2 linked regions of the Tamandua tetradactyla genome follow. The protein of the gene in region 1 purifies or fractionates together with the protein of each later gene. This does not show direct contact. Links are inferred from orthologs where the notes say so. Each region holds a gene or a part of one and is shown on either strand. Other genes may lie near its edges.

Region 1 (15,672 bases):
ACCACTGTCCCCATTTTAAAGATGAGGAGACTGAGATTCAGAGAGAAGAGGTCACCTGCCTAAGGATATACAGTTAATAATTACAGGGTCTAAAAAGAGAACCCAGGCATGTCTAGTCCCAGAGCCTGCATGCTCAACCCTCACTGGGACACCGCTTCAAAGCCCCACGAGCCGTCACCTGCCTTTGGGATGCAGGGACCTCCTGTACCCCCTGGGGTCAGTGGCTGGGGAAAGCCCACCAGCCTACATGGACCTGGCTACACACCTCTCTATCTCATCCCGGCCAAGCACCTCCTGCTTCTTCAGCGCTTTGATGGCGTAGTATTTCCCTGTCAACTTGAACTGGACCAGGAGGACCTGGGGACCAGAGAGAGGCTGGGCCCCAGGTGGGTACCATACGAGAGCCCTCCCCGCTCCCCCCACCGAGTCTTCACCTCCTATCAATTCTCCCCCACAACCCAGAGTTCCAGTGTCTACCTGGCCAGTGTGCTGCGCCCCAGCCCCACTGCACCCTCCTCAGCCCATTACCTTTCCAAAGTGTCCCCGGCCCAGCACAGCCAAACAGCGGAAGTCCTGAAGCCGGAGGATTTTCCTGCAAGAGAGAGAGGGCACAGGAAGCCCCTAGGACAAGTGCTGGCCCCCACCAGGAGCTGCTCCAAACCCTTACATGCCTGGTCCTGAGCTGTCCCCACCTATGCGGCTCGCAGGGGAGGGGATGGAGAACCCAGGGTAGGGGCTCTTAGCAGTTTCCTGGGGTCTGGGATATAGCTGGAGCTCAATAAGGTGAGCTCAGCAAGTTAAGAACTTGAGAGTCACAGAGTGATGACTGGAGGGATACACAAAGACTCAAGCAAGTGGCTAAACAGCGCAAGCACACGTGGGGTATCCGACAGAGGTACCTGGTGGGCGAGGCTGCTGGAGGCGGCCCCGATCTGGCTCTGGGCTCCACGTGGGGGCGTTTGGTGCGCTGGGAGGGCAGAGGGTACTCAGGGCAGAGCTGGGCTTCCTTTCCTCTCTCCCTGAGTCCCACCCCCATTTCCCGGGCAGCCCCCAGGGGCCAACAGCTCTGCCCTCCCCTTGCCCCTCACCGGAGTCTCCTCAGGGGCGGGCTCCTGGGGCAGGTAGAGGCGTGGGGGCTTGGGAGGGGGCTTCATCTCTTCTCCCACGGGGGCTTTCCTGGGTGGGAAATTACTGTGGGGAGGAAGCATGACCGGGCACAGACAGACGGAATGGCTGGTGGGGACAAACACAGCCGTGCAGAGACAGACAGAAAGGGTTGACAATGGGGACAGAAAGACAGCTACAGACTTAGCTTAGAGAAAGGTGGATCCAGAGAAGCAAACAGTCTGGGGTGAAGAGCTCCTCACCTAGGGGAGACAGGGTCAGCAGACCCCTGGGGCATAGCTGGGGTTCGGGGACATCCTCTCGGGGGGCTGATGGTGCTTGGGGAGCTGCAGGGAGGCAGCAGGTTCATGACCAAGCGCCCCCAGGCTGCCATGCTGAGATTCATCTGGGACGCCCTCAGGAAGTCCCGGCCTGAGGGGCAAAGCGGGGGGTTCAGTCCCAGGGCACCTGACACCCCAGCCCTGCTCCTACACACACAGCCCTCACCCCCCACCCCCCACACACACACCTCTGCGTTTAGAGAAAATGCGTTTCTGCCTTTGCAGCCTTGGTCTCCTCTCGATGACAGGGTCACAGAAGGTCACCTGTGGGGTCAGGGTTCGGGGCTAAGGACCAGTCCTCCCCCAATTATTTGCCACGTCAACTTCTCAGCCTCCAGCGTCCCAGCCTGAGCTCCCAATGTCAATGAATACACGAGCCAGAAGGGGCCAGAAATGGATTCAAGGCCCTCATTGGTACCAGTGGGGAAACTGAGGACCAGAGAAGAGGTGTATGTCCAGGGTCACACATGAAGCAGGGGCAGAGTCAGGACAAGGACGCAGGCCTCCAGAGTCCTGTGAAGTGCTCTTTCCACTGCCCCTCCGAGAGGGGCTGAGAATCCTTCAAACATTCCCAGAGACTCCTCGCTCTGAGCCTCAATTTCCTACCTACAAGTGGTGGGTCACACGGTCTCAAAGCTCCTCTAGCTCTGATAGACCCAGGGCCTGCAAGGGTGGGGGGCCAGTGAGCACCTGGGCAAAGAGCAGCCCCTGTGGCACCAGGCTGAGGGAGAGCTGGTGACAGGCATTGTCCAGGAAATCTTCAAGTCTCAGAAAGGCCACGCCACACAGCTGCCGCCAGTCCCGCCAACGCACCCCGATCTCCAGCTCACGGGCCTACAGTGGAGAAGGCCAGGTTGGGGTATGGGGGCGGGACCCAGAGCACCATCCCCAACCTGGTCAGCCTCCACCCCATGGCCAAGGTTACCCTTAACTGCACAAGGCCAGATTTACCCGCTCCAGGGGGATGACAAAATTCTGGTCCCAGGACTGCCTGGCCACTGGCCCCCAGCTTGTCTGGCCCACAGCACGGTTGTCCACCTTCAGCACAGCCAGCACCTCGCCTGCAGGGCCGGAGTTGGAGCTCAGGGCAGGCTATGAGCAGGGGATCCGTTGTTTCCCCCGACAGCTCCTGACAGCCCCTACTCACTGGCCAGCTCACCCCCACCACGCTGCTTGGCTCTGGCCCAAAGCCAGCCTTCCGAGGGGCTCCCAGCCAGGGCGGCCGCTGGAGAACGTCCAGGCACGGCGGTCAGGAGTTGCTCACAGCCCAGGAGACGGACCTGCAGCGTCCCTGTGAAGATGCACAGGGTAGGTGCGTTGTCAGGTGCCATCCTCTCACCAATGGGCCCCTGGGGACCCCAGGAATGCCATCCTCTCCTGAAGGTGGCTGAACTCAGACCCCAACCCCCTTAGGCCCTGGCAGCTATATGTCATCCTTGGAGCAGAACAACTAGCACCCCTTCTGAGCATTTCCCATAACACTGCAGGGACATACAGGCAGGCAAAGGAGCCAGAGGCTCAGGCCCAAGTCCAGGCCACACAAAGCCACAGTACATGAAAAGATGCCCAAGGACTGGGGCCTAGAAAGCATTAGAGCAGAGACAAGAACTTGGGTCAGGTAACAGGAGGCCTGGCTTCCTGTCCCACTCCTTTCCTGGACCTCAGTTTCCCCATCTATACAGTGGCGATGACTCCCAGCCCCACCCCACCTCCCACAATGGGTGCAAAATGTATTTTGTCAACCAAGAGGATTTATTTTTAGAGTCACTAGAGTTTTGTCTCTCAAAGGGTAGAGGGGGCAGTAGGAATCAAGCAGCTTTTGAGGATAAAAATTGGGCCCAAGTACACAATTTAGGGAGTCCAGGCCCGGAAATTACAGAGACTTTATAAACAAAGGCAGATGCCCAGGGTGGGAAGATTAACTTAGTACAAATGATAGGAGGAGCTGGCATGTTTAGCCAGCAGACAGGATATGAGATGACCCCAAATAGTTGAATTCCAGCCTTTTAACATGCTGTCCCCCCTCTGCCTTCCCCAACTTGTCTACCTGAACAACTCCTGTATGTCCTTCAAGGCCAGACTCAGACACCACCTCCTCCAGGAAGCATTCCCTGATTCCCCAAGGCCAAGTGAACCGTCCTATCCAGCCCTGGTACTTTCCCTTCTCAGCACTGCTTACCATGAAATGTCGTCCCCTGCACACTCTCCAGAACTGGCCAGTACTCCATGCCAGCAGGGGCTGGGCTCTCTATTTCCTACTGTATCCCAGTGGGAAAACTCAGGGCCCAGCACAAAGCCAGTGCTCTTGGATTATGTATTGATTGCAATTGAGCTGCTGCTTCAAGGAGACAGCTCAGTTCTATAAGAAATAACTTTCTACTATTCTGAGCTGCCCAGGCCTGGGACTGGGAACCAGAGTCCCAGAGTTGTAAGCTCACCAACACTGGTGCTTTAACCATTATCATAGTTACCAATGCAAATAACAGCTGCATTGACCAAGGGCCAGGCACTATACTGCACTTCCAACAATTCACTGAATCTACATAGCAACCCTATAAAGTGATGTCCAGGGAGGAGATGTCAGCTGCCAGGATTGGACTACAAAATTCCTCCCCACCACGCTTTAGGGTCCTCCTCCACAAGGGAGGAAGAGCTCTGAAGGTGGGGAAAGGGTGGGAATCCTGGCTACCTGTCATGGCGGTGGGCTTCACGAGTATCCCTGAAGGCTGGAGGTTCCCAGGCACAGCAGTCCGCAGCTCCCGGGCCACCCTGCCACGTAGTGGGTGGGCAGGAGGCAGTCTCTCCAGCAGCTGCTCCAAGGCCAGCCGCAGGAGGTCCAGTTTCTGGGAGGACTCCTGGAGCTGGGCCTGAGCCTGCAGGAGGGGATACAGGCAGGCACAAACCCATGGGGCATCAGGGAGGGGGACACAGCAGTCCAGGCCACCTTGAGACCCCTCCCTGCTTCCTCCTTTCTACTCCAGCAAAGCCATCCAGAGGTGCCTCCCACCACTGCAGAGGGTGGTATGGGGACAAGCAGACCCTCAGAAGGAAGCAGGAAGAGGAAAAGGTCATGGTCTGACCTCAGCCAGTGCCTTGCGGTCCTGTGTTCGCCGGCTGCCAAGCAGCTTCACCACATTTTTAGCACCCTCGGCCACAGCAGCCTCAATTCGCAGTCGATGCCGCAGCTCTTCTGCCAGCAGCTCAGGGCCTGCGGAGGACGGAAGGGTCAGGTAATTCCCTCCCGGCCCAGAGGCCCACACCCAGTCTTCTCTGTCCTGCCCGTCCTTTCCCACTGCTCAAGGCCTCACCTGGCTCAGGGGATCCACTGGATTCCAGGCTGCTGATTTTCATCCGCAGCAGAGCCACCTTCAGCTGGCTGTCCCGCAGCATCTGCTGGACAGCTGCCAGGAGCTTCCTCTCCTGCGGGGCCACGGCATATGCCCCATCAGACCAGGGCTGAGCCAGAGCCTCCTCCTTCAGACCAGACCAGGGCTGGGAGAGGTCAAGCCTCCCCATCAGAAAAGGGCTGGAGTCAGACCCTCCCCATCAGGTCAAGGTTGGTACTAAGCTTCTTCACAGTATCGGGGCTGGGGTAAGCCTCCCCTGTATGATGTGTTCTGGGGCCAAGCTCTCTACCTCAGGCTGGGAGGCAGGACTAGGGCTGGACCTTCTCTACTTGGCCTGGGATTCCCATTAGATTGGTATAGTGCCTTCTGTGTTAGACTAGGGGTTAGAGTTGGGGCTCTGTCTCCCCCATCAGACTTGGGATTGTGTCTCCCCTATAAGGTCAAAGGCTGGGTTGCATTTCCAGAATAGGGGTTACCTCCCCTAATAATTGGGAGCCATGCCTCCCCCATTAGATTGGAGGCTGGGGCTTTGCCTCCCTATCGTACTCCAAGGACCTTACCTTAGGAGTGCCACTGGCGTATGTGTGGGTCATATTTTCAGCCCCCTGCTTCACCTTCAGCTCCACCTGCAGCTGCCTCTGTAGAGCCTCCAGGTGCCGAGCCTTTGGCTGCTCTGCCCATGGCCGGGGTTCTGAGGCTGCAGATTCTATGCACAGAGAATGTGAGGCACACGAGCCCTCCCTCTAGAGGCAAGATTCCATTCCCTCACCCCCACTGTAGCCTAGCAATCTCCTCATCTCCCCTCCAAATGGGCAGCAGCAGGGGATATCCTGAGGAGGCTCAGAGAGGTGAGACAGCCTGTCTGGGGCCACACAGTGGTCAAGGACAAGGCCTAGGAGCCAGGTCAGCCTGGTCCCACCTCTTGAGGGGATCTGCTCAGACCCCCTACTCACCAGCCAGGCTGGGCAGCTGGATGCGGGCGTGCAGCTCCTGCAGCTCCCCATGCAGCTGCTCCAGACGGCGGTTAGAGGATCGCAGCAGCTGCTGCACATGCCCCAGGTGGCGACGGTCTGTGGCCACACGACGCAGGTTTTCCACACCTTCCTTGATCTTCAGCTCCTTCTGGATGGCCCGGCGGATCAGTTCCTTCTCATCCTCTGGGGGCCGCTGGCCCACTCCAGGCTGCAGAAGGACAGAAAGAAGTCAGGCCATACAGCCCCTCCCAGGGGGCACCAGGGAGAGAGAGAAGTAGTCGGCAGCCAGGACAGACACAGGGTTTGGGAAGTTTCTCTGACCTTTGAGCTCAATATCCCTATGCCAGATGGAATTCCAAAGGCTACTTATCCAGCCCATGCTCCTTTCTCTGCCATTCAGAAAAAGAGAAGGGTGAAAAAAAAAAAAACTGCTAATGCTTTGATGCTTACTGGATGCCAGGTTCTGTTCTACAAGCTTTACATATATTAGCTTATTTAATCTTTACAGCAACCCCACTAGGTAGGTGCAGTTATTATCCCAATTTTATAGATGAAGAAACTGAGACAAAGCAAGATTTAAGTAACTTGCCCGATGTTACCCACGGCCATATAGAAAAAGAGGTCACCATCTCTTGGGTCCTAGTCTCTGCCTGCCAAGCACCTTAATCAAGCTGTTTTCTAAATCTGGGCAGGGAGTAGATGGGAAAAGCTCAGCACTGAGAAGGGATTTACCCATGGAGAGGGCAGCTGGAGGCCTGAGTAGGAGGCCAAGGCTTGCTTCCTCCTGGGAGGAAGTATGAGTCTCTCTTACTACTTTACCCCAGGCTGGAACAAGGAAAAGGAAAACCTACGTCCCAGGAGCCATTTCAAACTAATCAGTGCCAAAGCTTTCCTCAGCTCAGAGTAGCCCACGATGCCTTCCCGTGGACTTTTACAGGGCCCCCAGGCCCCTCACCTTACCTCTTGGCTCTCCATCTCCTGAGCCCAGTGGAAGGGGTGACCACCCCAGCCTCAGGGACTCTCAACCCAGGCCTCTGCTGGCCAGCTGGGCCTGGCTCTCAGAGGGCAGGGGCGAGGCTCAGGAAATCCTTTGACCGCCCTAGGAGAGACGGCCAGAGCCAAAGGCCTGAGCAAACAAAGATCCCATGGAGCTGGGGGCCCGGCCACCGGGGTCCTGAGTCACCCTGCCGCTGTTGGGCGGAGGTTCACAGGAAATCGGAAAATGTGTACAAGTCACCGCTGGGACAGGCAGACGGACCTCTGGAGGAAGAGGGTGGAAGAGGGTGGACTGCAGGCCTGAGGGCTCCCTGAGCATTTGGAATCTCTACAATATCCCATGCTGAAGCTGAAACCAAACCCCACCGTCCTGTCTGCTCTGGACTGGAATCTCTCCATATATTCACACACCTCCTTTCTGCTCTGAGTTGGAAACCTATCTTGTACACATTTGTCCCCTCTTATTTGTTCTGGGCTAGGACACCTCTCCATCCCTAAAAACAGACACACACACTGCCTTGGCCTCCGTGCCAAAGCGCACTGATTGCCAGCTCTGCCCAGGAACCCCGCATCCCTCCACATTTGCAACTGGTGCCTCCTCACGCGTACACACACCCCACACGCCTTGTGTGTTCTGCGAAGGACCCCAGAAGTGCACAGGTAGGCCCCCCTCCCTGTGCTCACACGGCCTTCTCCCACCAGGTACCTCTTTGCTTTCCTGGCTAATTCCCATCGGCCTTACATTCTTGCCTGGAGAACAGGTTTTAGGAAATTTTGGAGCCCACCCTGGGGGTCCTGACTGCGGATTCAGACAAGCTCCTAAGCTGATCCGACTAGAGGTTCTGAATCACCCGGAGGGCTCATGTGTGACAATTTCCAAGAGGCAGGAACGACCTAACCCCAGTACTCAGTTCTCCCCTGCGAAGGTGTAGCGGGGATCCCAGGCAAGGGCTGGGAGAGACGCAAGGCGGAGTCAGGGTAGCGACTTTAGGGGGCAGGGCTTGGAGATGCGGCCGAAGCCTGGGGTGCCCGCGGTATGAGGGAGGCTTTCATCGCACCCCCTCAGCCCCCGGCCGCAGCCCGGTCTCTCCCGGCGCCGTTCACCTGCTGCGGCGCCCCTTCCTCCATGGCGCAGCTCAGGCCGTTCGGGCCCCTCCTCTCGACCACTTCAGTTCCGGAAGCCCTGGCCCCTCCGCCAGGACTTTCAAACTTGAAACTTCCCGGGAAGCGGCGCCCAAGAGGCGGGATCGGGCGCCCCCTCCCGAGACTCGCTGGCCCTTCCGGGACCTTGGGATTAGCGCCGCCTCTCGGCTGCGCCAAGGTGCGCCCCCAATTCCACTTCTGAATTCCGAGGCCCTAGTGCCTCGCCCGGCTTCGAAATTCCGCCGGACCTGAGACCCAGGACCCTCTCCTCTGAGCCCAGTTTCCGCTGACACTCACCCCAACAAGCGCAAGATGGAGGAGCAGAAGTCTGTAGCGTTGCCCCACCGAACGCAGAGGCAGGCCTGGGTGGACATAGCACCAGCTGCGACCGCGGGGCGGGGCGCTAAATCGCCACGTCGGGGTCGCAGCCGGTGCGGAGGGCCCACCCCTCTTCCTCCCTGCTCTGCCAGGACCTAGCTTCGGCCACTAACGCGCTAGGTCTCCTCGGTCAAGTCCCTCCGTCTCTGGGTCTTGGTTATTGCGGTGTAAAACGGGTTAATCCCAATCCTGTCGCCCCCACGATGTGATTGGCCCTCCCTAGGCGGTATTAATCACTATAAGAATGCATCTGTGGAAAATAGTAAAACCACACCCAAGTTATAAATTACAGAGCCACTGTTCCACTTTTGCACCACAAAACCCAACTAAACAGAAGTATTCACATCTTGTGAGATGCATTCTCAGTACAGTGATAACAAGCCTGCACGATTTGAGCTGGCACTGGTTTGCCTGTCGAGGGACGGGGGGGATCCCGGTTCTTTGTATTGCCTAGTCTGTTTTTTCACCACTGCTGGGCATAGTGTGCTTACGAGCGAGCACTTTCTGCCAGGTCTTCACCAGGAGCCTCATACAAGGAACAAAAAAGAAATTTAACATCTCAAGTGAGGAAGGATCAAGGGTGGCTTATTTGCTTAATGCTTTCACTGAAGGAAACCACGTCTATTCCATTTTGCTCTGACCACCTTCCTCGCAATGGATTGGAAAAGAAATTTGTAAGCCATGAACAATCCTGGGTTATCCTGCAATGGGAAATCAAAGTGTCATCAACATATGCAGAGGCAACTTGCTTTAGCAGGACATGCCCGTCCAGACTCTGTAATTAGAGGCAAACTGTTTCCACAAATCAGTTGTAGCACTTTAGGCAGAACTAAGACAAACACTGCAGTACATAGAGCACATAGATTCTTTTGGTTTAGCAGGCAAGGTTCTCGCCTGCCATGCTGGAGACACGGGTTCAATTCCTAGTGCCTGCCCATAAAAATATATATATATATATATTTGATGGGTGACGTCACTTCTGGAAGCCAAATAGGGTTACCCGATATAAGTAATTCTCCACAGGAGGGTGTTTCCCATCTTGAGGATCATTTATTTACCTACTCCCTGAGCCTGGGAGCTGAATTATATGGAGGAATAAGATAGCTTTGGGTTTGCCATGAAGTGTGCCACTGCCTCACACATCACACTTGAAGGAAAGTAGATTGGAATTAACTCATGCACCTCTTTTCTAATACACAAAAGCTGGGCAAAAAGCAAAGCTTTCACGGCCTCTATTACGAAAACTACAAGGAACTTAAGTCTTGGGCTGATGGAAGTTTGAGCAGCTAAGTTCATTTATGTGCATTTTATGTTTGATGGTGATGGCAACTTATGGGATTGCAATTCTTAGGAAGACATCCTGTGGACAGTGAATAGTGCAACCTCTCCAGCTGTCAAAGAACCTAAAACTTCCTAGCAGGCTACATAATCAAACTTTCCCCCTTTCCATATACATTTTGTTGGTTTGCTCAGTATTGGAACGTTACCATCAAGTTGGCACACCCCTACTCCACTTTCCAAGTCCTCACTATCGTTCTCATCACAAAATCAGTCCTTTCCCTCAGACTTGTTAAAAATTTAACTTGCAACCTTTCATAAACACAGATACATGTTCAAAAGGGAATGGATGCTAAAGGTGTGCGGAGGACAAACTTTTCAAAATGCAAAACTGCTGCCCCCCTTAAACAATTGGAGTGGCTAGTCCCTCATCTAAAGAACTTGTCTCAGTCTTCAGAAAATCCTCAGTCTTCATTCTTTGCAACAGAATTCCATTTTCCAGCAGCCAGGATTCCTATCCAAATCTAGACCAAAAAAAAAAAGGCATATGAAACCTATTAATGGAAACAGCTGAGACCATGAAACTGTTTTTTGTTATAAAGCAGTAATGATTTATGAATGAATTAAAAAACAATTATTCAGAAATCCTGAAGTCCAAAGGGTCCCCCAAATCCATGCAAGAGTTAAAAAGTCATCCATTTTAGAAACCAAGCAGCTAACACAAGTGAAGCAAGCTGGCCAGATGTAAAGCAAATCTGTTGACCAAACAAGATAACCAGGAACCCTATGGGTCATTTGAATTCTAAATTTTAGAGCCAGAATTGGATATCAACACCTGAGTATTAACCTGCTATGGAAATAGGAGTCCATTAAATGAGAAATCAAATAACCTCAACTGCAGGGATGGTCTGCAACAGATTGTTCCTTAAGGTTTGAATGTAAGAACACATTATAAGTTACTGTCCCAAATCATGAAGTTATTAAATTCCCCTCATAAATGGAGTGATAGCTTCAGGAGTATGTGCTTCCTATTGTCAAACTATCAGGTACATGCACATTGAGCCATTATCAACTCTTTTCAATACACATCTGATTAAAGGCGGACAGAGAACTACCCTTGTATTTCGGTAGAAAACAGTTCTTCTGTAGCAACTTTTTAGGAAACTAAGGTTGTTAACTTTGGAGTGTAGCAGTCTAGCATTCTTTTACAAGATTTATAGACACAAGGGATTCTACAGCTATTTCAATAGCTGGGAGACACACTACCATAAGTAGCTCCACATCTCAATGAAAATGTTTAACCTAACAGCCCTACAATTTGCCATAACATACATTTATGGCAAACTGTCTTTGCAAAACACTATGAGCATTACCTAATGGATATTTAATCTGTTCCGTTTTTCCCAGTGAAAGTCTTCTACATCTAAATACAGAATCCCCTCAGGAACGATTAACTATACTTCAAGATTTAAGTCAGTAATTTACGCATAACTTATAATAGACCAACTCAAGCCTTTTCATTTAGAGCTATGCTACATTTAACTGATACTAAATAAAGGACAGTTTGCCCACCACCCCACAAAGCAATTTCCCTCCAACTCCCCAGTCACTAATGTAAACAAGCCAAAAAATTAAAATATAGCTTACCATCTAAACCCAAAAGCAAGTAACGTTTCTCTACAAAACAAGGAGAATGACCCCAGTCAAAAAAAAAATCTTTAGGTTCCTTTATTGGAGCAAGATTCCTGACTGATTTACAGTGATGTATTTACTAAACAGAGACCTGTGCAGAAAAGTTACATACTATATCCATCTAAACAAGTTTTGATACACTTTGCCTCTTGATGGAATAGTTCCATTTATAAAGTTTTATACATCAAAAGCTTTGAATTTGACCAGCCTGGCCATTCTTTTCTGAAAACTTAAGTGGCAATGATTTTACACCATTAATAGCTTATGCATTAGGTAGCTTCTCAAAATGTCATATGCACAGTGGCATTTAGTAGACCAAGCAGAGTTCATATCACCTAGATTTACAAATGGGTCTCATTTGAGATAGCTTTGTTAGATAGCTGGTACTTGAGACAAAAAGTAATCCAAACCTGAGTTTCTCACCAACAGACTTCCTACAGAGAGAGCCCATCTTCTTGGCCACATTCTAGTGCCAGTGAAGACATGCCAGCAACTGCCCCACATGTAAATTGGCTTCAGAGCACATGGTCTGGCTGATGGTGGTGGCAGGCACTATTTTCATTGTTATATTCAGGTAAACAAGAACCCAGTTAAAAAAAAAAAACAAAAAACTAGAAATTTTAAAAAGGGTACAAACACTCAACTGAATTCTGGGCAATCTGATTTCCACCAATGATGTCAATATTCAGAAACTGATGGCAAATTGTACCCACAATGTTTCCCAGCTTTAGAGACATTAATACATTGACTCAAATCCCTTTACTCAATCCACATAGCCCTGAGGTCATCCTGCAAAGTGCATATCAAAAAATTCGGTTAGGGTGACAAAGTTTGACAAGGCTGTGTTAAACAAGTCAAACTTGGAACATTTTAAAGTTATATCTGTTCTGAGAGAAAAGCATCAAATCCTTTGTGTACACATTTAGTTTTATTGTAACAAAGCAACTTGTACACTTTTAACGTTTAAAACTGAGCATCATCTTTCCTTTCCAGTGAAACAAAAAGAAAATTTAAAAATAAACAGGAACAAAATTACAATAGAGAATGTCAATTCCAAATAAGATCCTACAGGTTCTGCTGATTCTCCCATTGAGTGGCAGGGCTCAAGTCATCATTAGGAGAGAATTTTATTTTAAAAGTGTCATCTTAAACTGCAAGGATGTCCGGTAAACATCACAATTAAACATGCCAAAGGAGAAGCCATGTTGTCAAAATGCCCACTTAACCCACCCAAACATCTCAAACCCACCCTTTGCTGACCTTCTATAACCCCATTTTTTTAAGGTTTTTTTTTTCTTTTTTTAAACAAGAGAAAGTAGACAGATACATGTTGGTAAATGCTAACTGTCCATATTCACATAGAGACACAGTGTAATCTCTGAGCCCAATATACAGAGAAAGGAGGAAAAAAGCTAGAATTCTATGCACTACTACACAGGGGCCTAGCACCCTCCAGCTTCTAGCAGAGCGAAGGGAGCAGAAGGTTTTTCTTTTTTCCCACAGAGCACGGTGGTGTGTTGATTCCATAAAGTTTTTTGTTGAGACAGGAAGGGATAAAAATGAATTTGAAACAGAAACAGGTAGAGATTCTTTTCCCACTGTATTCTGCGCAAGGTATTTCCCCCAAAATAAGTTGTGAACCATGGTGTAAAGGAGAGAAAAGAGACCTCAAAAACAGGGCGACTGAGCACAAGAGGGAAAAAAAAAAAAAAAAAAAAAAAAAAAAGACTGCAACTTGCTCCCAGGGACTGGAGAAAATTAAAAAGGGAAGGTTGGAATCCATCAGTGTTCTATTAGTCATCTTCTCCTTCATCCTCCTGTAAGAAAAAAGTGGGCGGTTAAATCTTCAGGGTTAATCCTACCTAGGGTTACTCACTAGTTTTCATATGCTCTATAGACCATGATGGATTCTATAGGACATAAAGAAAACATACTGCAGGGCACCCAATTTCTGAACCTGTATATCAATCTGTTTCCAATCTACATTGAAAAGGCCCAGTGACAGTGTTTCAGATAAATTAGTAGCTTTTCAGCACTAACGACATCATTGGACATATTCCATACAATTCAAACCAAAATGAAAACTCATCTATTCCAATTTGACTACTTAAGAATCCTGTAGTTTGCAGACTTCTGTTATTTGGGAGATTTCTTAGGACTTTAACCAGCTGCCCTGTCCATCACTTTCATTAAGTATGGGTTAGAGAAAGACAGGCTTCAATTAATTCAAAAGCAGTACTAGTCAAATTATAGAAACAATGAGATTATCAAAATTTTATTGATTCTTAAGACAGAAAATGGCTTGTATTACCCACACAATCAGTTCCGGGTTAGTTTCATTACACAATAAAAGTAAAATGGTGAATTCTTTAAGTAGTAGTTCAATTCTGAAAGGGTATAAAGATTCTACTCTTTTAAGATTTAGCCAATTTTTCTTTTACCTCTCCTTCCTCTCCCTCATCATCATCTTCATCTTCTTCCCCTTCATCCTCATCCCCTTCTTCATCAATATCTTCCAATCCTTCTTCTTCTTCATCATCATCATCATCTTCTTCTCCTTCCCCTTCTTCATCATCCATATCAGGAACCTTAAAAAAAAAGTTATCTTAAGCACTTATTTTTAATCAAATGAGACAAGTGCAACATTAAATGCAAAAGCATTCACCACTCACCAAATAGTATTGTAATGGATTTGGCCAAATATCATCTTTGATGACTTCTCCTAACTCATCTGCACCTGCATCAGAATGGTCAGTAAACCAGGTAAAAAAGCTCTCTGGTTCTTCATGCTGCCTCTTCCTGCTGGCTTTATTCTGTGTTTGACTTGAACGTTTCGTCAAATCCTAAATGAAGATGGAAAGACCTTTTGACATAGGCTCTCTATAACAATAAATTTCCTGTAATTTAAAAAAGTAAATTTTCCCTAAATGCAGAATGAAAAATAAACATCAGTATACTGTCAACACTATTACTGTCTAAGAGATGTTATAGAATTGACAGGAGATAAAGAGCAAACTCTAAAATCCTAGGTCCACAAGAGTGTGTTCTCTTAAGTTTTATGACAAACTTTTCCTAAAGATAAAGTTACAACTAAATTTTTCATAAGATTAGTTCCACTTTCACCAAGTACCAATACACAGTATTATAATTAATAAATATAACTTTAAGGTGAGCATTAACGGATTTTGGAAAAAGGGCAAACCATTTGAAGAGTTCAATTACCAATATGGAAACTCCAAAGTCTGTCTGACTCTCAAACTTCCATTATAATTTTCACAAGACTTCGATGCTTTATCACACTAGCAGTTCTCGTATTTACTGTTTTTGTATTTAGCATATTAACAAAGCAGCAAGAATTGGTAAATTCAACTAAACTAAAATACACAAAATATTCTTGCCTAATCCCTCAAAGCATACCTTTCCAGATTTCCATTTGATTTCAGTTGACTTTGAGGATGGATCACCACTCTCATTCAGATGAAATTCTTTGGAGAGAACTTTATTTTCGAAGTAAGGATTTTCATCAAAATACTAGAATAATCAGAGGATTAGAAATCAATAAAAAACAAAAAAAACCCCACTTCGAACCAAAGCTGAGATTAATTTCCATAGTGGCAAACAATATGAATTACTGATACTTACAAAATCTATTCTGTAACCTGATTTAATATCTTCAAACTCTGTCACTTCAACTCTTGTCAAATAATGCAGTGCCTCTTCATCTTCCTCCCCAAGCAATGCAGACACTAGACCAACAAATTACAGGTCAAGTAAAGTTTAAACAAGCAAACACTAATAACAATAACTTAGTGAGCATCTTTGGTTTCATAGCTCCATTACTAACCGAAGAAAATCAAGTGGTTTTTAAAAGTACCAAAGCTGTCACCATCTTATCAAGTAATCAAACAGTTCCAAATTAAATTACAGTTTAAGTAGATAAAAGGCATTTACTTCAAGTCTTCGCTTTCGAGTGTTTCATCTTCTATATGCAATCTACCATGAGGTCCCTTTACTCATTAACATGTCAGCATCTTCTTTTAGCAATACCCTTCCACTAGCTGGAGGGAAAAACATACCTTGTGGATGGTTGACAAATGTTGTTACCCAAAAATTGGGGATTTTGGCGATCAATTCTGACCTCTTCTGAAAGAATGGTTGGCGGAGTTTATTGTATTTCTGTTCTACTTTCAAAATCTCCTCACTGGCTTGTTCATTAAGTCTGGAGCAAATGAAAAGATATGTTGACAATGACTACTAAACTTTATGAGGCTATAGAATGAATATTCTCATTAGCTTTTTTATAACTACCTATTTCATAATAACCAAATCTAGTTTTTTACAGATGTAAACTCAAGCCAATATTAAGATGGCAATTAAAAAAGTTCAACTTGCTTTACAATAAGCACTCAATAAAACAGT
Region 2 (16,046 bases), on another chromosome or scaffold:
TTCCTTGAATGCCAGGAGATAACAAACAAATAATAAAAGCACAAAAAAGAAAATATCTTTCTCAATCTTTGCAGAAAGAAAACACCTTTCTCAATTTGTGCAATGCTTTCCTTCAGGGTTTATCCATACAATAAGTTTGGAGAATAGCCCCAGGCCAACAGGTAGGGGCCTCCTTGCTCCTTTCTGCATGTGCCTCCTGTCTTGGGCATAGATGTGTAGCCTTTGGAATTTCCCTATTTACATGGATATGAATATCCCCTCTTCCCTAGGAAGCAGTTCCTCATGGTCCCAAGCACTGCAGTGTATGTCCTACCACCACCAGTCCTGGCCCCAGGCAGCACAAGTTGACAGTTCTCCCTCAGTGAGAGCTCTGTAAACTGCTTCTTCTACTTGCAGCACAAGTTCTGGGACAGCATGTCCCTCAGACAATCACTGCACTTGACAGATTGGACTAGAGGGACACGTTCCCAGTGTGTGGATGAGGCAGGTATGGGTCTAGGGACCCACACTGGGAGCATGGGGTGGCTCTCCACCAAGCCGGAGAGGGGCAGGGGATGGACAGGCTCGGACGTCACAAGATCCTACCTCTGTTAAGTGATCTTTTGCTTGATTTGGCACTTTGCCCTGTTCCTGCAATCCTTTAACTGTTTTCTAAAGCTTTTAGAAGGATGTTTCTGCCAGGTCTTGCTGGTTGTTCCTAGCTTCTGAGGGAATGGGGCCCTAAAGTGTCTTAATCTGTATTGAGGGGGGCAGGACCTCCTATTTAATCCTGTGCTCTTCTGTTACATCACCTTATTTCCTTTTCATGCTTCAGAAAGCAGCTTTTCTCAATTGGTTATTTTTGTTCTTTAAACAAATGATCTTGGAAGAAATGTCATCCTTGTCTGGCATTCAGTTTCCTCACCTGAAAACAATGTGATTAACTGGATGTATTCCATAATCTTTTCCAGCTCTAAAGCTCCATGGTTCTGAGATTCCATGAATTGCCCATTCAAAGACAGTTGTTGGTTTTCAGTGAAACTCCTGCTTTTCTCATCTGTTTTTAACCGAAACTGGAGAATTGAAACTCTTAAATCCATTTAGTAGACGCATCTACTATTTTACTTTTATATTCATGGGTATATTATTTGGTCCTCCTCAGTTGCAAAATATTTCCTTACTGTCATTTATAATAACTCTCAGGAACGATAGCCTGAAGAAATAGTTTTGATTTGCTTTTCTTTATTTATAGGTGGGAAACCAGGCTATTCTATTCTCTTAAATTGGCTTTCCTGAGGTCAGTGCTAGAGAAAGGTTTGCGATCTGCAACTGAAATTTCTAATCTTGCTCTGTATTTGTCCACTCATTCTTTCATCTGGTTAGTCCACAGGCTGACTAACCATCTCACGGAAGCCAAATCTGGCCTGCCATCTGCTTTTGTATGCTCATGAACTGACAATGGTAATTACATTTTTAAATGGTTGGGGAAAAAATAAAAAGAATAATATTTTGTGACACATGAAAATTGTATGAAATTTGCATTCTGGTGCCTCTAAAATATTATTGGAACACAGCCACCATGCTCATTTGTTTATGTATTCTTTCTGTCTGGTTTCATGCCATGGTGTCAGAGTTGAGTAGTTGCAACAGAAACTGTATGGTCTGCAAAACCTAAAAGCCCTGTATAGAAAAAATTTGCCAATGTCTGTCCAACATGTATTAATTGTACACCCTTGTTATATACTCAACAGGACACAGGGAATACAGCAATAGATAAGATAAACAGGTTCCTGGGCTCAAGGAGCTGTTTCTATACTTTTAAATAAAAAACCAAACAAACCTGGAGGGACACAGGGCTGTCAAATTTTGATTTTGGTAAATGACATTAAAAAAAAATCAGCTACTATCTTCATTCATCATCATTCTATAAATGAGAAGTATATTAATAATTTAAAAATGAGTATATTAATAACAAAAAATGTAGGAAAGGACGAATCTCAAAGTAAAAAAAAAATTCCCTTTAATGGAATAAATTTAATTTCATGAAAAACTCATTACACTGTCTTTGTTTTTCCAGTTTCACCATGGATTAGAGAAAACTTCCTGTACTGGCCCTGGTCATCAGACCAGCAGTGGGAAGTGTGAGGGTAATTGCTTTTCAGGCAAAACAGCCATTAAAAATATCTACTTTTAAAAATTGGAAAATGTTAGTATTTTAGTGATGGAATGCTTTATTTGAAAGTAAAACAGTCACTAACTAGTTTTATAAGTCAACCTTTTCTATAAATGAGTGCGTGTGATGGAAATATAGTGATGGGAAATCCCAGAAAAGAAATGCAAAGGGAAGTGGGGAAGTACAGAAAAGAAATCTGCTGGCATTCACTCTACCCCAGCAGATGTGACAGTTCTATGCCGTGTTTGGAAGCAAGAGAACCCATTTTAGTACTGCTTATTGGCACTGGCTTCACCCTTGAAGGAAAAGATTACAGAATACTTTCTCTTTTGAATTATTGCCCTCCTCTGTCTACATCCTGCCACCTTTAATAGACGTGGGAACCTACTAAAGCCACAGCATTGCCTCGAAACAACCAGGACCATTTAATGTGAATTCCCATGGAAGAAAAAACCTACCCATCACTAAGGATTTGAAGTTGAATAGTTTTCAGTCACTTTAGAGAGTTTCTTAAATCCACAAAACAAATTATTTACTTTGCAACACCTAAAATGGCAACCAAAAGACTAAAAATTACCTCTTTATGCTGCAGGAATCTGTATATACCTATTCCTGTTGTGCATGATATTGTCCATTTACTTAACATGTTTCATGGAGCACTAACTATGTGGGATGCAAATGTTGGGTGAAAAATAGGATTCTGTGCTCAAAGAAATATAAGAAATATTGAGTTATGCAAAATCACACAGGATTATTTATTGTAGAACTTCTCAGTACTGCTAATATGCTAATGTGCATTTTAAAGCAAACACATGTATTTAAGAAGATCCCAGGCAAGAAAGCAAGGTGCTTAGGATGGCTTTAGTTTAAATTATTTAAGTGAGCTTGTTTATTTGGCTATTAAATCAACAACAACTATAAGAAATAAGCCAACTGTTGTCATTGACCCAGATGATTCTGGGTAGATAGTTTCTTTGATAGTTTCCTGGTTTCATACCAGACTTTGAACAAGTTTATTTATGTTAATAAATTATCCCTTTTCTTAAATACCTTTCCTCGTTTAATACACGTTTTGATAGTTGTAAAGGCAAATATTATCTTTAAATGTTTAGGAAACCATCCTTAAAATTAATGGGTTTTGGGGTGCATGGGTAGTTCAGTGGTAGAGTTCTCACCTGCCATGCGGGAGACCCAGGTTCAATTCCTGGTCCATGCACTTCCCCAAAAACAAACAAACAAGCAAAACAAATAAAAATTCAACAAACGGTGCTGCAATAACAGTATATTCACATAGAAAAATGAAATGTGACCCCGTCATATAGTATACCAAAAAAAAAAATTAATGGCTTTCTAATTTGGAAACTACTTGAGGATGATATATTGATAATAAAATTTAGGAAGAGGTGAAGAGGTGAAACAATAGTTTTTTTTTTATTAGTACATTATTATCCATTAAGGTTCTGTTTATCTATGAGTAATAGAAAACTCCACTCTTGTAGCTTAAATGAGTAGGTTGTGTTTTTCCCTGTCATGTGCTGAGTTGTTGGGAGGTGGGCACTCTGGGACTGCATATTTTGGATGTCACCAAGCCACCTGGCTCCCTCGATCTTCCTATTCAATCATCCTGCATGTGGACTTCAATTTTATGGTTGCAATATAATTGCTGCTCCTCCACCCATCTCATCCACATTCCAGGCAAGAAGAATGGGAGGTGGGCAAAAGGTATGTGCCAGCTGTTTCTTTATCAAGAAAACAAAACCTCTTTCAAAAGCCCACCCAGTAGATTCTAAATAGCCTGAAAAGTGCACATGACCACTGCTAACTGTGTATAAGCCTGAAAAACTGAATTCTTTAGCTGAGTGCATTGAGGCTCTGCTATAAACATAGCATTAAGTTTAAGCTAGACTACTGGTTAGAATCTCAACTCTGCCTCTCAGGTGAGCCATTTCCAACGACGTCATCTGTGAAATGGAGATAAGATAGTAATAGGGTCGTTACAAGGTCAGCTTAGTAAATTTTTTTTTTTTTTTTGGTATGCTGTATGGTGGACATCACAGTTCATTCTTTTTCCACGTGGGTATCCCCTTATTGCAGCGCCATTTGTTGAATTTTTGTTTCGTTCGGTTTTTTGTTTGTTTGTTTGCTTGTTTGTTTGTTTGGGAAGTACATAGGCCAGGAATTGTGAGTAAATGTTTTTAAAGCATTTCGAACAGTACTGGTACATAGTAAATATTATATAAGTATTTTCTCAATAAATAAGTAAGGAGGAGGGGAGAATGGATTTTGGGTAGAAAAGTAGCAGGCATGGATGGAGAGATAGGTAGAATGACACCGCAAATGTGGTAAAATGTTAATATTTGTGGATCTGGGTATGGGGGTCATGGTATGTTTAAGTTCCCTGTATGGGTTTTGCATTATTTTTGCTATCCTGTAAGTTTGACATTATTTCAAAATTTAAAAAGTAGCAGGCATGAAATGAAAATAAACTGTGAAAAAGGGAAGTAACAATATTGCTAACATACAAAACAGAACATGTATGTTACAAGTAATATGAATTTCATTAATTTGTTGAACTAATGAATGTTAAATAAGTACCTTTCATGCTTATTATAAAATGAAGAAGGAATTTATAAAGACAGACTTGTTCTTTCTTCTTTCAAGAAAAGTTAGACTATCATGTCTGCTTCAATTAACTGCTTCTATCCAAGAAAAGTTAGACTATCATGTGGGTTTCAATTAACTGCTTCTATCCAAACGATAGGATCTGGATTTAAAGCCTACACAAATTAAAGATTGGGTAATTATTGATAAATTGATTTGGGATATACCACAAAAGGTCCTGAAGAAAACACATACACTTTAGAATGGGGTATCTCCTTTCTCATTCATGTGTGACCTTATTCCTTTTTAAGGTGATTGGCTATTTATTAATCTTTTAGATATATAAACCATCTTTCATACAGATGCCTTATATGGTGATAATTATTTAAGACATTTGAATTCTAAACCTAGCTCCACCACTAACTATGTGACCTTAGGCACGTTATTTCTCTAAATCTTCATTTCCTTATTTCTAAAATGGGATGGTAACAGTATCTACTTCCCAGGATTGCAGTAGAGCCTAAATGAGGAAATGCAGTAAAGTGCTTAGCAGAGATACTGCTCCACAGCAAGAGCTTAATAAATTTCATCATCATTTACTGTTATAACCACCACCGTCATTATTTTTTTAATCAAGTTTAAGATGCAGTTTATATACAATGAAATGCAACCCCGATGTCAACACCTGGGTAACCATCACCATACTCGAGATGTAGAATTATTCCCATAACCCCCTGTTTGGGTTTGTTAAATCTGCTGGAATGCAATATACCAGAAATGGAATGGCCTTTAAGAAGGGAATGTATTAAGTAACAAGTTTATAGTTCTAAGGCCATAACCATGTCCAAACTAAGGCATCCAGGGAAAGTTACCTTGACTCAAGAAAGGCTGATGGGTGCAGAACACCTCTGTCAGCTGGGAAGACACATGACTAGTGTCTGTTGGTCCATTGGCTTTTGGTTTCAAGCAGCTTCCCGAGGGGTGTTTTCTTTCTGCATCTCCAAACGTCTGTATCTCATACTGGCTCTGTTGGCTCTAAACTCTCTCCAAAAATGTTTCCTCTTTTAAAGATTTCTAGTAAACTAATCAAGACCCATTTGAATGGGCAGAGTCATATCTCCATCTAATCAAAAGGTTATACCCACAGTTGGGCGTGTTGCATCTCCATGGAAACAATCTAATCAAAGGGTCCCACCCTACAATATTGAATCAGGTTTAAAAGAACAAGGCTTTTTTGGGGTATATAACAATTTCAAACCAGCACCCCCTCCCAAATCACTATTTTAAAATAGGAAAACTGCTGTCTTATCCCATAATAATGCAAAGGGGAAGTCACTCTAAAGAAACATATGGTATCAATAACAAAAAGAATGAGTAAGTGCTAACTAGAATTAGAAAACTATGGGATTGTTATAGAAGGAGCATTGATTTTGAGGATGCTGGGTGGCTGGTCAGATGTCCTGCACCTTATAACTTTTGCTGGTTCAACTTTAAAGTCCTCTTTTCCTGCTAACAGGTCCTTGCTTGTCCTTTGGGAGAACAACTCCTTCCTAGTGCTTTGTATGTTTAGGGTGGGCTTATTTCAGCCGTGGCTTTCAGTCTTGTCATTTCTGCTGGAATTCTTGGATAGAAAAGTTCTTGCAGCTGACATCACTGGCTGTAAGCTTGGAGAAGCTGAGGGAGTCACTGAGAAGGAAGCCACACAGAGGAAGTTCAGCTGGAGCGATGGAGAGAGAGAAACCTTGTGAACAAGAGGGTTCGGGCAGGATCCCTGAGGCCATCATGCTGTGAAGAAGCCCAAAGGGGTCCACATGAAGAAGCCCTGAGCTCACAGGGAGAAAGAAAAAGAGACACTGGCTAGTCCCTCCCTGCCTTAGCTCCAGGCACCATGTGGCTGCAATCACATGAGCCATTCCAAGCCAGAACCACCCACCCCAGCCCTCCCCAAATTCCTGACCCACAGTGGTCATGAGAGAAAGTAAAATGATTGCTGTTGTTTTAACCCATTAAGTTTTGGAGTCATTTGTTATGCATCAATAGAGAACTAGGATGCCCGGGATAACAAGGAGCACCTTTAGGTGCTCAAGGTACAGTCATGGACACAATAGATGAGGAACCTATCTTCACGCAGTTTCCATTGCAGATCTTTCTCAGCCTGGCAAGTGAGGAACAACTATTTCAGGATTGTAATTATCTATCAGATGGCTATTTGGGCCTGCAACTAAGCCTGAATTTTTAGCTACATCTAGCAAATAGGTCACGTTCATTGACTCATTTATGCATTTAATCAATCAATTTCTTAACTTATATGGGATGCTTTCTCTGACCCCTTGAGTTAGAACCCTTCACATTCCCAAGCATTCAGCATTCTCTACGCTGGGGGTAGCCCGTGGGAGGTTTTGATAAGGAGTGGCTATGAGGGGGACGGACTGTAGGGGGCGGGAAGGCTGCGGGCAAGCAGAACTGGTAATTTAAATATGCAAGCATTTTCTCCCTGACTGGAAGAAAGAGGGAGTGTCTAGGGACGACGTGGATGCGTGGAGCGCTCGGGGTTCTCCCCGGCCCTGGGGTTGCGTTTTGAGTGCAAACCCGGTTTTCAGCAATGCAGAGTGGGCTGCGGGGAACTGCAGCCCTAATTCCCAGATTTTTCATGCTGGGCACATCCCAGGCTCCTCCGCCCCAGACCAGCAGACAGACCATCTCAGGCTCGGATCCCGGCCACAGCAGGCGGGCAAGGTCCGGAGTGGCGGGGGCTCTAGCACAGCAGCGCGGCTCACCCCCAAAAACTCGGGGTCTGCTCAACCAGGTTGGCGGGAGAGGGCGGAGCTTGTTCTGCGGACCTAGGCGGTGGCGTGGGCCCCACCCCTTGCTTCAGACCCCACCTGCAGGCCTCGCTGATTGGAGAAAACCTGCGGAAGGGATGGGCGTCCCAGAGCGGCCGGGGGGTCGGGCTGAGGCGGGCACGCCGATTGGTTGTGCTGGGATGAGGTCATCGCTAGCAGGTTCGGGCGGTCCGGACGCCGGCGGGGCGGCCGAGGCTGCTGTGAGAGGGCGCTCGAGGCTGCTGGAGAGCGAGCTGAGCAAGGGAGGCGGGGAGGCGGCGGCTGCACTCGCTCGCCCGCCCGCCGGCTCGCTTCCCGGTGCCTTGCGGGTCCGCCGCTGTGATTCCTGCTGAACCCCTCCGAGCAGCCTCGCGCCGCGGGAGCAGCCGCCGGTCTACCGAGGCTAGGCTCGGTTCGGGGGTCGTGCACGCCGGCGGACACCGCGCGGAGGGCGAGCCGGCGCCACACCTGTGGAGCCGGCGGCCGTCTGAGGTGCCGGCCGGGGTCCCGCTGCGTGCGTGTTCGAGGCGGCGGGCAGCCCGGGCCCCGGAGGAGAAGACGCGCCGCTCGGCTGGGCGCTGCGGACACCATGGGGCTCCCTGCGCTCGAGTTCAGCGACTGCTGCCTCGACAGCCCGCACTTCCGAGAGACACTCAAGTCGCACGAAGCGGAGCTGGACAAGACCAACAAATTCATTAAGGAGCTCATCAAGGACGGGAAGTCACTGATCAGCGCGCTCAAGAGTGAGTGCCCCGAGCCCGGCGGGGACGGCTGCCCGGGGGCCGGAGGGGCAGTCGGGAGGCGCTCAGCCCTTGTCGCCCGCGCGCCCTGCGGCGACGCTGAGTGACGGGAGTAGAGGCTTGTGAGGAGACAGGAAGGATACATAAAATGGGCGAGCCGGCAACAATGAGATGAGGAAAGACTGGTCCCGGAGTCGTTTGTATTCTGGGCTGGAGGAGAGGTGACCCGGGCGCGTGTGGCGCTCTCGGGCACCGCGGGTGGGGGTGCGCGGCACACAGGTGTCCCGGGAGTGGGCCGTAGTGCCTGGCGCACCGCAACCTGTTGGCAAACTCTATCGCGTCCGAGACTCTGGCTGCTTTAGGGGAATTGATGATCGTCCCTCGGTACCCATCCTTGGGAATGGGGCGGGCCCTGCCAAAGGGGCGCCGCCTCCCCTCGGGAAAAGGCAGGTGGGGAGTTTCGCGCCGTGTACGCAGCTGCCGCCTGTTCTGGGCCCTGGTTGTCCTCCGACAGGCACAGGCGCTGCCCAGAGAGGAGCGAGGTGGGGTGGTTGGTTAGCCCTCGATTCTTTGGAGTATTGGCAGCCAGTAACCCCCGAATGTAGAATCGGTGCCATGTCCGTGTGCAGAATCTGATTCTTGTGTTTAGCAGAAGGTGATAGGGGTGGGAGCACTGAATCAGAGTGTTCCTTGAAACTATGGGGGAAGGTTTAAAAATAGAATGAACATATTCTGACTTTCTCCTTCACTGGCTTCCCTGTTCTCCTTATTGCCTCTCCCATTAACCTTGAAAACTCAAAGGTTTCTGAAGGGAATATCTTCCTTCCTTACTCAAAGAGAAGTTTAAGTTCATCTTAAAGATTCTCAGACATTTTGTAAAAGGATTTTTGCTTTTTTCCTTTTGGTAGGGGAGAAATGGAACTTGCATCCTGTGTACGGTTTTCCCCTGACTTTTGCAGAAGCTGGACTTTCTTCTTCTGGCCAAATTGAGAGTGATCTAGGGATGAGCGCCTAGGATTGGGAGAATGTTTTTGGTGCTTATTCAGTCTACCAATTTTAAAAATAGTTCAGTTCATATTTTAGTTTTGAGAATCAGGAATAACATGAAGGCAGATAGTGGATTTTTCTTCGACTCTGCCTTTCCTGTCTCTGCGATGGATTCCTTAATAGGTGATATCTTTCAGCTGAGAAAGGTGCATTGGCAGAGTAGGGTCCAAGCTATGAGAATTTTATCTAGGACTTTTAAAAGGAGACTGACAAATCAGATCCCTAAGATGTCATTTTATGAGCGTGATGCTTCTATAAATGAAGAGAGAGAGAGCAGAATCCCAGGGCAGCAAGTGTCAATCTTTGGGGTGAAATGAATGCAGAGCTGTTGGAGGTGATGAGGCATTTTAGAGACAGGGCCTCTGCTGGAGGCTGTGCCTTACCTGAGCATCTGAACAGACTCTTCCTTTGTCAACGACCAGGGAGGACCATGCTTGGCCCCTAGACCAGTTCCTTGGGAACACTGACACCTGTTTTGGAGCCAGTTAGGGGCCCACTTGTATGTTGGGGCCAGGCATTTTGATTGAATCTCTGTGGCTGACTTTAATTGGGTCCTTGCTTCAGCCTACTGTGCCTGCTGTGTGCAGGGTAACGGCACTGGGCACTGGTTCACCTGTGAGTTATCTCATGTAAATTGAGGTTTGGAGGAAGCATTTGCTACAGCTCTGGTGGCAGGGCTTATTTCTGAACAGAAGTTCTGGGCCCTAGATGGAGTTCTTGCAGGGCTCTTAATCTGATCCCATGGACACTCTTGCCCTGAATAGAACACTCTGGACCAGTTTTGCTGGAATGTGGACTTACCTTTCAGTGCCTTGGCTGTGAGTCTGAGGAGGGCACAGTTTGGGTGACTGGTAGTTTTCCTGCTATTTTTTTTTTGAATGAGAATTCTTTGAATAGGAAGAAACATTGAAATGATGGGGTTGGAGGGTTATTTCATTTGTCTAATAGACCAGCCCTGTACTTGGGGGAAAGATTGATTGGACACTAGGCATTCTGGTTGTTCTAAATCCAGCTCTACGAATGTGACCTTGTATAGGTCACGTGATCTGGATCTCTAAGGGCTTCACTTCCCTTATCTTTAAAGATAGGAGTAGAGAGCTGTTTCCCAACTTTTAAGCATTTAGTTTTTAGCTAGAGGCTTACTTCATTGTTTACTACTACATTAGTATTTGCTTATTTTCCTTCTTCAGATCATCTTTATTCATACTGTAAATGGAAAGCCAGTGTTTTTCCAGAACACATTAAACATAGATGCATAATTGTGTACGTAAAGCTTGTTTAGATTATCTGCAGCCTCCTCCAGCTCTAAAATTTTATGGTTTTATTTTATAACTCATGTTTACAGATCTGGGTTTAGTTTCCTTTGTGTGTTAATCAGAGGCAATAAAGCTGACCTCCAGAGATTACCTGGTTCAGCTAGGTCATGTTATTGCTACTTCCACTTTATAAATGAGGAAACATAGGATCTGAAAGACGTCCCTAACCTGCCCAAGGCAATGCAGCAATTAAGTGTATTTAAATACTAGTTGTCTTGTTCCAAACCCTTGTACTTAACCTTAAAGCAACACTGTCCTCTAGGTCAGTGGTTCTTATACATGTTGGCCTCTTGACTCCCTTTGAAAATCTGATAAAAGCTGTGGACTCATTTTACATAAAAATGAATCCCTTGAAGCCTTTCCCTGGAGCTCAGACTTTCTGATGTGAAGATAAGCAATAAATTAATCTGGAACACACATTTCATACAATCCTCTTTTTGGAGAAAGTTCTCATTTGATGTGGGTTAGAGGTTTGGTGACTCTTAATCAGCAGTTTCTGATGCTGTTTTGTCCTAGCCTATTCTTTGGGGGACTCACACTCCCAAGATTCTTTCTTTTGACCTGATTAAAATCTGTCTCAGCCAAGAGGATTCCGTGTGTTTATGTCTGCTTTTCTTTCTGTAGATATGATGGAGACTGGAAATGCAGTTCAGATTTATAGAATTGAGTTTTAGGATTCCCTTTCTCCTTACCCTGAGCTTGTTAGGTCTCCAGACAAGTCCCACACCCCTTGAGGGCAGTAATATAGCCTGGTGTTAACAGAGCAGCCCTGGGTTTGAATTTCATTACTAAACCTGAACTGCTTCTCTGTAAAATGGGAATAGCCACACTGCCCTCAGAGGAGAGTTCTGAGGACTTGATGCAGCAATTCATGTACTGCGAGCACTTAGCTTGGGACCTGGCACATTAGTTCTGTGGGTTAGTGGTAACTGTTATCATCTTCCTTGGAGAAGGGAGCAGCATTCAGAGTGGTCAAGACTCTGTGATTCTCATAGCAAAATTCACTAAAAGCAGAGAGACATTTTTGTTTGTTTGTTTAGGGGTAGGAGGCAGGCCTGTGCCTTCTTCCTGCCAGTTGTTGGTAACTGACTAAGTTGTATGTTTATTATTGGTAACTGACTAAGTTGTATGTTTATTAACTATTCATGGGCAAAATCCTGGTAAGACTGCCTCTAAGCCGTGGTTGTGTCAAAAAAAGCCCTACAAGTTAAAAAGGAAAGAAAAATGAACTTCCTAACATCTCTTCTGTTCCTTCTAACAGTAGCTTAAATTTGCTATCTTTTTCTAGATTAATTCCCCCCACCCCCACCTCTATCCCAGTACCTTGGCTTGCTGGCTCCTTCTGTTTGTCTTGCAAGAAAAGTTCACAGAATGTATTGGAGTTCATATCTGGCTGTCATGGACTCAATGGCAAACCAAATGTGGTTTCATAGAAATGAAATTGCATTAGGTTGTTGCTTTAGAGGGCTGGTGTGGAGTTTTTGGAACCGCGTTTCTTTCCATTTTTGCAGTTGGTTTCTACACTTGTCGCTGGGGTTATGGCCCTTTAAATTTGACTTCAGTTTTCTGAGATGGGGTACCTTTATTCTGATACTCTAAGGTGGGAGAACAGAAATGCAAATTTCTTAATAACAGCCTTTATTGAGATATAATTCACCATATAAAGTATAAAATTCAATGGTTTTTAGTACATTCACAAAGTTGTGTAACCATCACCAGTCAATTTGAGAACATTTTCATCACCTCAGAAAGAAAATTTATATGCTATAAGCAGTCACTCCCATTTCTGCCCAACCAGACCAACCCTAGGAAACTCTAATCTGGCACCATAGATTTTCTTTCTCAATGGATTTGCCTATTTTGGACATCACAAATGCAGTTTTAATTATTTTCTTCTATGTGGTGGTGACCAGCTAGCTGTAGGCACAAAGTTCTTGATTTGAATTTCACGTTGGGAAACTTTGAATTTATAAGCTTTTTGGCTTCAAAACAGGCCTGGGTAGATAGGGCCTGAGGTCTCAAGGTCTGAAATGTGTCCCAGGGCCAGAAGAAAGCAGGTGTGCCTTTCTGTCTGCAACCCGCAAGAGGGGAGTGGATTCGTTCTCGGTCAGGGTACTTTGAAGTATGCAGAAGAGATCACCTAAGTACGAGTGAGAATCCAGCCCCTTCCTTAGTTAGCTTTCATTTATGTTGGGGCAGGATATGTGATACTGAGTAAAAACCTTACTTTGTGGTTATTATACTGCTAGATGGCATCTTTTTACAAAATAAAATGAGTATAGTGAAATTCCTATTTCTGTAATTTAGCCTGTACTTTTCATTGGCCTGTGCTTTTTGAAAATGATGTACCTTTCTCATTACATTCTTGATCATTAGTAATTCTGAGATTTCTGTCCTGCACCGTATCCCTAAGGCAACCATAGTGAGTTTTAACAGAAATAAGTAGACAGTCTTGTAATGATGACAGCAGATCAGGTTTATTGAGCACTTCACCAAGCTCTGGGCTCTATGTTAAGTGATTCATGTATATCGCCTTACTGCTCCTTACCGCCAGTGGGTGAATACTTACTCATCTTTCTCTCCATTTTATAGGTGAGATAACTTGTCTAAGATCACACAGCTAGGAAGTTGTACAACAAAGCTTTGACTGCAGTGGACCACAGGGTGTTTTCTTGAACATTACTTCCATTGCCTTCCATAAAGATGCTGACCATGACAATGGAAATTCTTCACAAATCTAGATCCTAGAAAGAGGAAACATAGGTGCTATATGAAGTGAGAATATTGTCCTAGCTATTTTTCAGACTCTGAGCCCTGGGCAGTGAAGAATAGCTAAGAGTTTGCATTATGCTCTGTTTTTGTGTTTCTAACCCCATCAGGGCCTTAAAGAACCTTTGTCAGTTAGAGAGGCAAATGAGGGGGTATCTCTTGGCCTTGTAAAGCCAATGCTCCAGAGTTTCTCTTTGAGTAGTGCTGAGTGATTATCAGCGATTTGGGGCATTGCCTTTCAACTGAGTAATAAAGTATTGAACAAAGAGGCTAGAAACCTGTTTCTGGATTCTGATGCAGTAAACAGCTCATCCTCTTTGTTCATTAAAATAAGAATAAGAAAATCAACACCAAGGGTTGTATGCTTTGAAGCATGTCACTCTTTTGTGCTTCTTTAGGATTTGGTATGGGCTTTTTGTAATAGCAAGATAAGTCCCTCTTGAATGTCATGAACTCCTCAAGGATGTTCCATGCCAACATGCTTTGTTTAGCAGTTATTATATTACTCATAACGTCCTAATGGGACAAACGGATATTAGGTTAGGTAGCAAAAGAGTTTTTTGCAGTTCCTTTGCTTTGCTTTAGCACCTTGCTAATAAATGAAAAAAGAAGGCACTTCCTAATTATTTGTAAATGGTGTTAATTTGCAGTAGAGACATTTGGAACATTGCATACTCAAATGTAAACAACAACAAATTTAAATCCAAACAAGACTTTGTAGTTTTTATATAACATTGCCTTAAAAAAAAAACCTTCTACTTTACCTCATTCTGTTCTCAATTGGAGTTAATGAATTGTATTTTTACTGAACTTTAATTCCCTCCCCTTCCCACCCCATTTTAAAACCGTAGCCACTGTCGGATCTTCTGTTATGTTCTCTTTTGTCCCAGAGGAAAATTCAGTAGTTTAGTTGGTATAAGTGGTTGATGGGAATTGACTGTGTTAATCAGCAATAACTATCAAGAAAGAATATCTTTCTTCTTTAAACTAGTAAAAAAGATAATTTTCTGTCCCCCTCTTTTTTTTCCCTCAGAAATATCACTAACACTTGGAGTTGACAGATAAATTTATTGTGTGTGTATATGTGTCTCTTTCAAGAACATTATATTTAAGTTTATTCCTGTTAAGGTAGCCATTTGTTTCAGATTAGCATGTTTTGGGAAAGCATGTTTTTAAAAAGCTTTATTAGGTATAATTTCCATAATGTAAAATTAATCTGTTTTAAGTGTACAATTTGAAGACTTTTTAGTTAGATTGCAGAGATTTCATCAGCTAGGTCAAAAAGGTCTTGAATCCCAGAAAGGGCTTTGGATTTCATTCTAAGGGGGATGGACAACCCTTAGAGATCAACAGGGAAGTGATGAATCCTAGCTGTGTTTAAAAAGATCATATTGGCAGCTGTTTGGAGAGTAGATGTAACAAGGCAAGAGTGGTGGCAGGGAGGCCAGCTGGGAAGTTGTTAAAGTAATTGAGGTAAGAGGCACTGGCACCTGGTCCAAGTATCGAAACTGTTGGTCAGATTCTGTGTGTATTTCGAAGTTGGGGCCACAGGATTTGCTGCTGGATTGGATGTGGGGTGGCAGACAAAAGAGTGAAGTCAAAAATGATTCAAAGGTTTTTGGCTTCATCTGCTATGTGGTGCCACTTACTGAGATAGAGAAGACTTGGGGAGGATTAGATTTGGGGGGAAAAATCAAGTTTGCATGAATGACTAATCTTATGGTGCAAAGACAAAAAAATTATGCAAATAGGTCATGAAGACATTCTCATAAAAGAATCAAAAGGTATAGAAGTAGAGTGAAGCACCTCTTCCCTGGAGTTAACCACTGTCAGCAGTTTGGTATGCTTCTTCTTTTCCTACTCCTTTTCTTCTGTGCATGTTTGCTGTTTCATAAATGGGATTATGTTATCTGAATTTTCCTGTGTTTTGCTGCCAGTTAATACTATGTTTTAGAGATCTTCCATGTCAGTACATGTACATAGTGCATTCTTTTGAGTGATTGCAGAGAGTTTTACATAGTTTATTTTCCCAGTCAGCTCTTGAAGGATATGTGTATCATTTCAGTCTTTCACTACTAGAGAAAATGCTGTGTTGATCATCTTGTGTATTCATCTCTGGGTACGTGTACCAGTATTTCCACCTCCAGTTTTTACAAGCTCTTTGACATCCGTTGTTGAGGTCTTTTGCATCCCTGTAGTCAGTTAATATTTGTCCAGTGCTCCACTGGGTTTGGTTATGTCTCTGAGGCTTATCCTTTTGCCCAAGTTAGAAACATCCTGAACAGGCTCTTCTATTAGGCACTGACACTGATCTAAAAGAATCAGGTGGTAGAAAAAAATCTGGTGTGTGTGTGTATATGTATGTGTGAGAGAGAGAGAGCTAGAAAGAGAGAGAAAGAATAATTAATTAGCCTTGGTCCAGTCGGATATCCTTTCTGAGCTTCAGGTTCTTACAGGTAAAATGGGAGATGTGACCATATCTAACAGGCTCTTATTCCAAGCACAAGTTGGAGGGACCAAGAAGGAAATCACATTTGTTAGGGTGAGAACAACAGCATTAGTAGCTAGAGAAATGTTTACAAATTAGGAGTCACTGGGG

The links.
Region 2: the proteins of PKN3 (region 1) and ARHGAP26 purify together in Homo sapiens (affinity purification with mass spectrometry; 3 studies listed by BioGRID and IntAct, with this or other methods). This does not show direct contact. The link is inferred for Tamandua tetradactyla from reciprocal best matches to the Homo sapiens genes PKN3 and ARHGAP26.

What each region holds. Positions count from the first base shown.
Region 1 is NC_135328.1:51,570,968-51,586,639, reverse strand, and holds the start of PKN3 (serine/threonine-protein kinase N3), read right to left. Parts: upstream 8,040-15,672; 5' UTR 7,891-8,039; coding exon 7,867-7,890; intron 7,660-7,866; exon of another isoform or gene 6,742-7,659; coding exon of another isoform or gene 6,727-6,741; intron 5,975-6,726; coding exon 5,746-5,974; intron 5,499-5,745; coding exon 5,353-5,498; intron 4,866-5,352; coding exon 4,754-4,865; intron 4,654-4,753; coding exon 4,526-4,653; intron 4,319-4,525; coding exon 4,135-4,318; intron 2,737-4,134; coding exon 2,593-2,736; intron 2,507-2,592; coding exon 2,397-2,506; intron 2,280-2,396; coding exon 2,136-2,279; intron 1,710-2,135; coding exon 1,634-1,709; intron 1,537-1,633; coding exon 1,368-1,536; intron 1,192-1,367; coding exon 1,089-1,191; intron 968-1,088; coding exon 900-967; intron 593-899; coding exon 529-592; intron 358-528; coding exon 266-357; intron 1-265. Other genes in the region: protein SET, read right to left, coding at 13,668-13,841, 13,926-14,096, 14,671-14,784, 14,896-14,999, 15,330-15,472.
Region 2 is NC_135346.1:22,966,415-22,982,460, forward strand, and holds the start of ARHGAP26 (rho GTPase-activating protein 26), read left to right. Parts: upstream 1-8,088; 5' UTR 8,089-8,164; coding exon 8,165-8,318; intron 8,319-16,046. UniProt on the Homo sapiens protein: GTPase-activating protein for RHOA and CDC42. Facilitates mitochondrial quality control by promoting Parkin-mediated recruitment of autophagosomes to damaged mitochondria.